Linked DNA regions of Macaca fascicularis. The protein of the gene in region 1 interacts with the protein of each later gene in a biochemical or structural test. Links are inferred from orthologs where the notes say so. Each region holds a gene or a part of one and is shown on either strand. Other genes may lie near its edges. The genes, in order: MATK and SIRPA.

The links.
Region 2: the proteins of MATK (region 1) and SIRPA form a complex in vitro, tested with the Homo sapiens proteins (3 studies listed by BioGRID, with this or other methods). The link is inferred for Macaca fascicularis from reciprocal best matches to the Homo sapiens genes MATK and SIRPA.

What each region holds. Positions count from the first base shown.
Region 1 is NC_088393.1:4,501,821-4,505,621, reverse strand, and holds part of MATK (megakaryocyte-associated tyrosine-protein kinase), read left to right. Parts: intron 1-569; coding exon 570-635; intron 636-2,425; coding exon 2,426-2,525; intron 2,526-2,605; coding exon 2,606-2,690; intron 2,691-2,774; coding exon 2,775-2,848; intron 2,849-3,037; coding exon 3,038-3,233; intron 3,234-3,625; coding exon 3,626-3,712; intron 3,713-3,799; coding exon 3,800-3,801.
Region 2 is NC_088384.1:85,409,448-85,413,348, forward strand, and holds the start of SIRPA (tyrosine-protein phosphatase non-receptor type substrate 1), read right to left. Parts: upstream 2,789-3,901; 5' UTR 2,662-2,788; coding exon of another isoform or gene 2,179-2,661; exon of another isoform or gene 2,041-2,178; intron 1,781-2,040; coding exon of another isoform or gene 1,742-1,780; coding exon 1,663-1,741; intron 1-1,662. Other genes in the region: uncharacterized protein, read left to right, coding at 1,740-1,780, 2,179-2,661. UniProt on the Homo sapiens protein: Immunoglobulin-like cell surface receptor for CD47. Acts as docking protein and induces translocation of PTPN6, PTPN11 and other binding partners from the cytosol to the plasma membrane.

The DNA.
Region 1 (3,801 bases):
GGGAGGCCAGAGCCCTGGAATATTCTGGAACCTTTATGGGTCTCCATGTTTGTTTGTTTGTTTGTTTGTTTTTTCTTTTTTTTTGCTCTGTGTGTGTTTCTGAGTGGTCAGAGGTAAAGAACTGTGTAGGGAAGAGCCCAGCAGGTATTTGGAGGGACAAGAGAGCCAAAGAGAAAAGGGCAGCTCTTCTCTCTTGAGACCTGAGACCTGAAGTGTTTCCTGGCACTGCTCCCTGAGCCTGACAGGGAGTTCCTGGAAGGCAAATGTGGAATCTGAGGGTCTCAGCCAGGCAGGCCCCCAGCTTTGACCATTCACACCACTATCCCTCCTATAAGCCCGTTTTTGCTCAGGTCAACCTGAGATAGTTCTGTTGCGACAACAGTAATTGGTACCAGGAGTGGGGTGTCTCTGATACGTCCTAGGGGCATTGCCAGGTCCAGCAGCCATTCAAATGTGTATCCACAGCTGCAGCACTGTGAGAGACTTCACCTAGTCTCTCACCAAGTAGAACCCCCAATGGGAGGGTTTGGGGGGCCCATTACCCCTCTGACTGGGTCTTCACTCCACAGCGGGCTGGTTACTGAACCTGCAGCATTTGACATTGGGAGCGCAGATCGGAGAGGGAGAATTTGGAGGTGAGTGGCGGACCGGGTTGGGGGTGCTGAAGGAAGGTGGGAGGTGCATATTGAGGCTTTGCAGTCACAGAGCTGAATTCAAACCCATACTTAACAACCTACTAGTTGTGCAACTGAAGACATGCAAATCCTCTGAGCCTCAGTTTCCCCCTCTGGAACACGGGGTAATGGCAGCTGTCATGAGGGGTCAATGAACTCAAGCAGTCAATGTTAGTGACTTCACACTGCCAGGGTCTTGTATGGTCAGTCCCTCTGTTTGGAATGTTTGGAACACCATTCCCTGAAATTATTATTCTGGAAGACTCTGGGGTTTAGATCAGGGGTCAGCAGACTCTCTGTAATAATATTTTTTGCTTCATGTGTCAGGGAGCTGCTGTCACAGCTGCTGAATCCTGCCCTTGTGGAGTGAAAGCAACCACAGACAATATGTAAACATATGGGCATGGCCATGAAAACTATGGGCCAGAAATTTGAATTTTGTATAATGCTCACATGTCCTGAAACAGTACTCATCTTTTGATTTGTTTTTACAACCATTTAAAAATGCAAAAACCAGACAGGCGCCGTGGCTCACGCCTGTAATCCCAGCACCTTGGGAGGCCGAGGCAGGTGGATCACAAGGTCAGGAAATCAAGACCATCCTGGCTAACATGGTGAAACCCCGTCTCTACTAAAAAAAAATACAAAAAAATTAGCTGGGCGTGGTGGTGGGTGCCTGTAGTCCCAGCTACTCGGGAGGCTGAGGCAGGAGAATGGCGTGAACCCAGGAGGCAGAGCTTGCAGTGAGCCGAGATAGCGCCACTGCACTCCAGCCTGGGCGACAGAGCGAGACTCCATCTCAAAAAAAAAACAAAAAACCCAAAAACCAGCCAGGCGTGGTGTCTCATGCCTGAAATCCCAGCACTTTGGGAGGTCGAGGCAGAAGGATCCCTTGAGCTCAGGAGTTCAAGTCCAGCCTGGGCAACATAGCAAGACCCCCATCTGTACAAAAAAAAAAAAATAACCAGGCACAGTGGAGCATGCCTGTAGTCCCAGCTATTCAGGAGGCTGGGATGGGAGGATCCCTTGAGCCCAGGAATTTGAACCTACACTGAGCTGTGATCATGCCACTGCACTTCACCTGGGTGAGAGAGTGAGACCCTGTATCAATATTTTAAAAATAAAAATGCAAAAAACATTTTGAGCTCAAAGGTCTTGCAAAAAGAATTGACAGGGTAGATTTGGCCCCTGGGGGGTGGAGGTTCACAGACCCCTGGCTTAGATGGTTCTCTCTTTGTTTTTGTTTTTGGTTTTTTTTGTTTTGTTTTGTTTTTTTCTGGTTTTTCTTGAGATGGAATTTCGCTCTGTTGCCCGGGCTGTAGTGCAATGGCGCGATCTTGGCTCACTGCAACCTCCGCCTCCAGGGTTCAAGCGATTCTCCTGCCTCGGCCTCCCGAGTAGCTGGGACTACAGGCATGTGCCACCACGTCCGGCTAGTTTTGTATTTTTAGTAGAGACGGGATTTCTCCATGTTAGTCAGCCTGGTCTTGAACTCCTGACCTCAGGTGATCTGCCTGCCTCAGCCTTCCAGAGTGCTGGGAATACAGGCGTGAGCCACCGCGTGAGGACCAGACGGTTCTCTTTGATCTTGGGTCTGGAGCTTGTGAGGGTGGGGGGGATGGGGAGCGTGGGGACCCGCAGCTGTGTGAGTGTTACATGGGCACCGGTGTGAGTGGGCCTGTCCGTTTGTCTCTCTGTCGCTGTTTGTTGGGGGTCCTGATCTCACCCCGTTCCCTGCCCCCACCCCCAAGCCGTCCTGCAGGGTGAGTACCTGGGGCAAAAGGTAGCCGTGAAGAATATCAAGTGCGACGTGACGGCCCAGGCCTTCCTGGATGAGACGGCCGTCATGACGTGAGTCCCGGGGTGGGGGCTGGGGACCCTGGGATGGGGGGGTCCCAGCCCCGCCCTCACGCCCACCCCACCGCCCCCAGGAAGATGCAACACAAGAACCTGGTGCGTCTCCTGGGCGTGATCCTGCACCAGGGGCTGTACATTGTCATGGAGCACGTGAGCAAGGTGGGGCGGGGCTCAGGCGGGGAGGGGGTCCCACACGGCAGAGCAGCCCTAACATCCCCCACGGCTGTCTCCCACCCCCAACAGGGCAACCTGGTGAACTTTCTGCGGACCCGGGGCCGAGCCCTCGTGAACACCGCTCAGCTCCTGCAGTTTTCCCTGTAAGTGGGGCTCTCAGGGTGCCGGGGCGTGGGGGTCGTCGGGGGGCAGATTCCAAGATCCATCAAGGGGAAACTGAGGCACGGGGCAGGGAGGCTTTCTGAGCTTGTGGCCCAGGCACCCAGAGCTTTCTGAGCCGTGAATGCAGGCGTCCCGGCACCTGAGCCCCCACTGCCCCCTGCTCCCCCCAGGCACGTGGCCGAGGGCATGGAGTACCTGGAGAGCAAGAAGCTGGTGCACCGCGACCTGGCCGCCCGCAACATCCTGGTCTCCGAGGACCTGGTGGCCAAGGTCAGCGACTTTGGCCTGGCCAAAGCAGAGCGGAAAGGGCTGGACTCGAGCCGGCTGCCCGTCAAGTGGACGGCGCCCGAGGCTCTCAAACACGGGGTGAGCCCTCCTTCACACACCCCTGGGGCTTTGGGGTCCCCCCAGCTCTGCTGTATGACCCTGGCTATGTCACTTGGCCTCTCAGAAACTCCAAGGGCAATGGCTCCGCCTCCCCAGGAAGCTCTTGGCCCGTAATTGTTCCTTTTAGCTTCCCTCTGGGCCTCAATTTCTCCATCTCTGAAAAAGGCATGGGCTCAGGACTGAGGTGAAGAATGACCAGACTTCCTTCATGCATGAAGGCTGAGCTAGACTCGATTGTGGGCGGCGTTGGGGGAGGAATCAATTAGGAGACCGGAGAGTGAGGGTCAACCCAGGAGGGCTTCCTGGAGGAAGCAGAGGCTGGAGCAGAAACCCTGAGGGGTCCCTCCTCACCCCTGTCTCGGGCCCCACAGAAGTTCACCAGCAAGTCGGATGTCTGGAGTTTTGGGGTGCTGCTCTGGGAGGTCTTCTCATATGGACGGGCTCCGTACCCTAAAATGGTGAGCAGGGGGCCCCAGGGAGGCACTGGGTTCCGGGCAGGTCCAGAGGCTGTGGCCCTGACCCCTGCCCACGCCTGCTGTCCACAGTC
Region 2 (3,901 bases), on another chromosome or scaffold:
AAAAGGGGGAGATGTGCTCACAAGAAAGGTGTTGGTGTTCCCAGCCAGTGCCCCAGGAAAGGCAGGCTGCCCATCTGAACACTTGCTAATCAGCGTCACTGCTCATTTGCCAGGGACTGAACCACAGGCTCCTGGTCGGAGAAGGGTCTGGAATAGACATTTAGAAATTAACTGGGGCCCAATTCCCTTCTTCAGGAAAATTAAGCACTTGTGATTGACACTTGTGCATTTCCAGGCCAGGAAGGATGGCAGGGCAGGAACTCAGACTTTTGCAGGGTACAAATGGCCGGCTCAGGCAGGAAGGAGCAGATAGGAGATGCCACTCACTGGAGAGACGTGAACTGTATCAGTGCTCCCTTCCACCCAGCAAGGACCCAACTATAACTGAAAACAACTGGGGGTGGGGTTGGGGGGGAGTGGGGTGGGGTGATACCTATGTGAATTCCTGGGTTTCAGGGGAAACTGCAGGGCAGGGAGAAGCAGCTGTCCACCCCCCACTTCTTCTTCCACCCACTCTTTGCTAGTTCTCCCTTTCTCCCTGCTATCAGATGGTTACCATCTCTAGGCAAATGCAAAAGGGGGTGTTGGACACTGAGCTCATCTTTACTTCCCTCCTCAAGGGTGGGAGGTACAGAGAGACCCCTCTGCCTACAACATAGCTTCAAGAGAACAAAAAACAGGATCCCCATTCTCTCCCTCCCAACTCCCTTAACGCCATTTCTCTGCTCCCCCCGCCCCCAAGCCAGTGCCCTCCCAGGAGACCCATGGTTTTGCAAAACCCATTTAAGAAGAAGGACTCCTGAATGGTGACCTCACCCTTTGGTGAACATACACAGTAGCCTTCAGAGCCCGCCTGCCGGCGACAGCCAGGTGTTTGATGTAGGCCAACAGAAAGACATGCCCAGAGCCACAGGTAACATCCCCGCGGAGCACCTGAACTGCAGGGAGCTGCCTGGAAGCTCGGGGAAGGCAGGAGGAAGTGGGAGCTGGGAGCGCCTCGAGGAGCAAGACCACCAGGGAGAGGCTTTGGCAACCACAGGGACAATTCACCGTGTTTTTACATAAGGATCTGTTGCTTGCAGCAGCTCGCTGTGGGGTTACCGTGGCCTCCCGGTTCCCTCTCTCCCAGGCACACACTAACACTGGTTTACTTGGCGCACCAGAGGGAGGGCTCACTCTTCCCTAATTGCAACAGCTTGTCTCTGTTCCATTCCAGGCAGCATTGGGGGAACCTCTGCCCTCACCTCCTCCCCTCACACCCTGAAGTCAAACGTGGAAAGCCGTATGTCCATGGGGAGAGATTCTGGGGAAGGAGGACCGCCCTACTCTGAAAGCCACTGTCAGTCAGCCTTCCCCATTGGACTGGGCAGGGGCTGAGTGAAGCAACTCAGCTCTTTTGTCTCAGTGCCCAGCACAGTGCACACAGTCAGAGTCCACAGAGACAAACTCTCAGAGAAGAGACTTGGATTCTACCCTTGGCTGTGTGACCTTGGACATGTCGCTGGCCCTCTCTGGGCCTCAGTTTCCGCATCTATAACGCTGGTTACAGGCGTCTCTCTCCCTATTACTGCTCAGCATTAGCCGAATGGGTCCCAGTGCTAGTCTGAGAGGCCTGAGCCCGCAGTTTGGGGAGGGCAGCGGTGGGGAGCGGGGGGTGCTTACCTGACCAGGCGCAGGACGCGGTGAGCAGCAGGCAGAGCAGCGGCCCGAGGCGGCCGGGGGCCGGGCCGGCGGGCTCCATGGGCCGCGGCTGCGGAGCGAGGAGGGAGAGCGGCCGTGAGTGCGCGCTCGGGCGGGAGCAGGCTGGAGCGGGGAAATGACTAAGACTCCCCCCCTTCCCCCCTCCCGGCTGGGCCTCCCCCCGACTCCGGAACGGGCGCCTGGAGCGGCTCAGGAGCCGCCGTCGCCGCCGCGGTTTTTGGAGACCCCCCTCCCCGCCCCCCAGGAGAAATCGAGAGACGGAGACGGGGAGAGACCCCAAGCGCGCGAGAAATAAAGCCAGGGGCGGCCAGAGAGAGGCGGCAGGAGAGAGAAACAGACCCAAGGGAGCCAGGCAGAGAGCCAGAGACACAGAGAGGCGAGAGGGGGAGAAAGAGGGGGAGAGCGAGCGAGCGAGGAGTGAGCGAGGCGGCGCGCAGACCGAGACAGACAGCGCGGGAGAGAGGACCGCGCGAGCAGGGGCGAGGGGCAGCACGGCCGAGCCCGGCCGCGCGGAGCCGCCCCCGCCGCTGCCCACCTGCCCCGCCCGGGCTCCACACGGCGCGGGCGGCTGAGCTCGCTCCCGGCCCGCAGTCCCGGCCGCTGCCCCCGCCCTCCCGGCAGCCCGGCCCCCTCCCTCCTTCCCTTCCCCCCTCCTCCCGTCTTCCCGCCGCCCGGGGAGGCTTCGGGGCTCCGGCCCCGCCGGCACCTTCTCGGCGAGCGAGCGCCCGCCTGCGCGCCAGCCAGCAGCGCGCCCCGGGGGAGGGAGCGAGGGCTGCGAGCAGCGCGCCCGGCCGGGGAGGGCAGCGTCGCCCCCCGCGCCGGCGCCCGAGCCCCGGCACCCCCGCGCGGGCCCCCGGCTGCTGCCCGTGAAGGCGGCCCCGCGAGCCGCCGCAGCCCGCTCGGGCTCGGGACTAGACGAGCCTCCGGCTCCGACGATGTACCAGTTCAGAAGCCCGCGCGGTTCGTCCCCAGCCCCGACCCGTCCCGCTCTGCCCCTCCCCGTCCCTGCCAGGCTCGGACCTGCGCCGCCCGCTAGGGCTGGAAGGCACTAGAAGCGCCGCCGGGGCTACCCAGAGGCCGGGTCCCCGCTCCACTTTGCGCAAACTTGTTTTTCTAAGGTCAGCGCCGCGAGCTGGCTACATCGTCCTCTTAAGGTGGACTGGGGAAGTTGCGGCCGACCTCCCCTCGCCTCCGGATTCTGGCCGCGCGTCTACTCCCCGCTTCCCACTGGCGAGAGGCTGGAGGCGGCGAAGGAGTCGGGGAGTGGAGGCGCGGGGGTCGGGGGGTGTCTGCCTTTAACCCTCCCCAAGAGGTCGTGCCTCTGAGCCCCAAAGCTGAAGGCCCCTCTTGGGGATGGGTGCGGGCCGGAGGGGCCCGATCCTTTCAGAGCCGGGCCGAGGTGAAGGAAAAGAAGGAAGTAAGTGAACGCAGGGGGAAGGGGAGAGGAAGAAGAGAGTGATGGTACAAAAATAGCGTGTGTGTAGGAAGGACTTCGGTGCCGCCTGGAAAAGAGGAGCGGGGAGGAGAGGGAGCGAGAAGGGGGCTGTGGCGGGGAACCAGAGGGGAAGGGCCGGGGCCTTCCCAGGGAGGTGGGAGCCCCCTGGCCAGGTGTCTCGGTGGTGGAGGGCAGATTGAGGGGGTGGGGAGGCCCAGGAGGGGGCGTGTGTGGGAGAGCGGGGCCCTGAAGGCATGGGTTCCAGGAGAAGGACAGGCCCGGAAGAAGATGAGGGGTGGGAGCCGGAGCCAGAGGCTTGGAGTTGGAGAGGACAGAATCTCGGTTTTCCTGGAGGGAACGCCGTTCCTGTAGCAGCCAGGTCAGTGATGGGGAGTGTCAGTGTCCTGGTCACCTGGCAGAAGTAGGCTCCGCATTGTGGGAGGAACACGAGTTCAAGACCCGCTGCTAATGGGAGAGAATTTTGCTTCACGCAGTGGCAGTTAAGAGGGTAGGAATAACACAAGGTGAGAGAGGGCCCAGCCCTGTAAATGGACAGAACGTTGAGGCCCAGAGAGGGAATAGGTTTGCTTAAGGCCACACAGCAAAGCTTGGGGTAGCAACAAGATTTGAATTCCTGATTCCCAGGTTAAAGACCTATGCAAAGTAGCACCACCACCTCCCCTCCTGCCCCAAGCCTCCTGGTTAAATGCCTGGTCCTGCTGTTGTGCAGGGGGGCAGGGAGGGTGCCACACTTGAGAACATGGG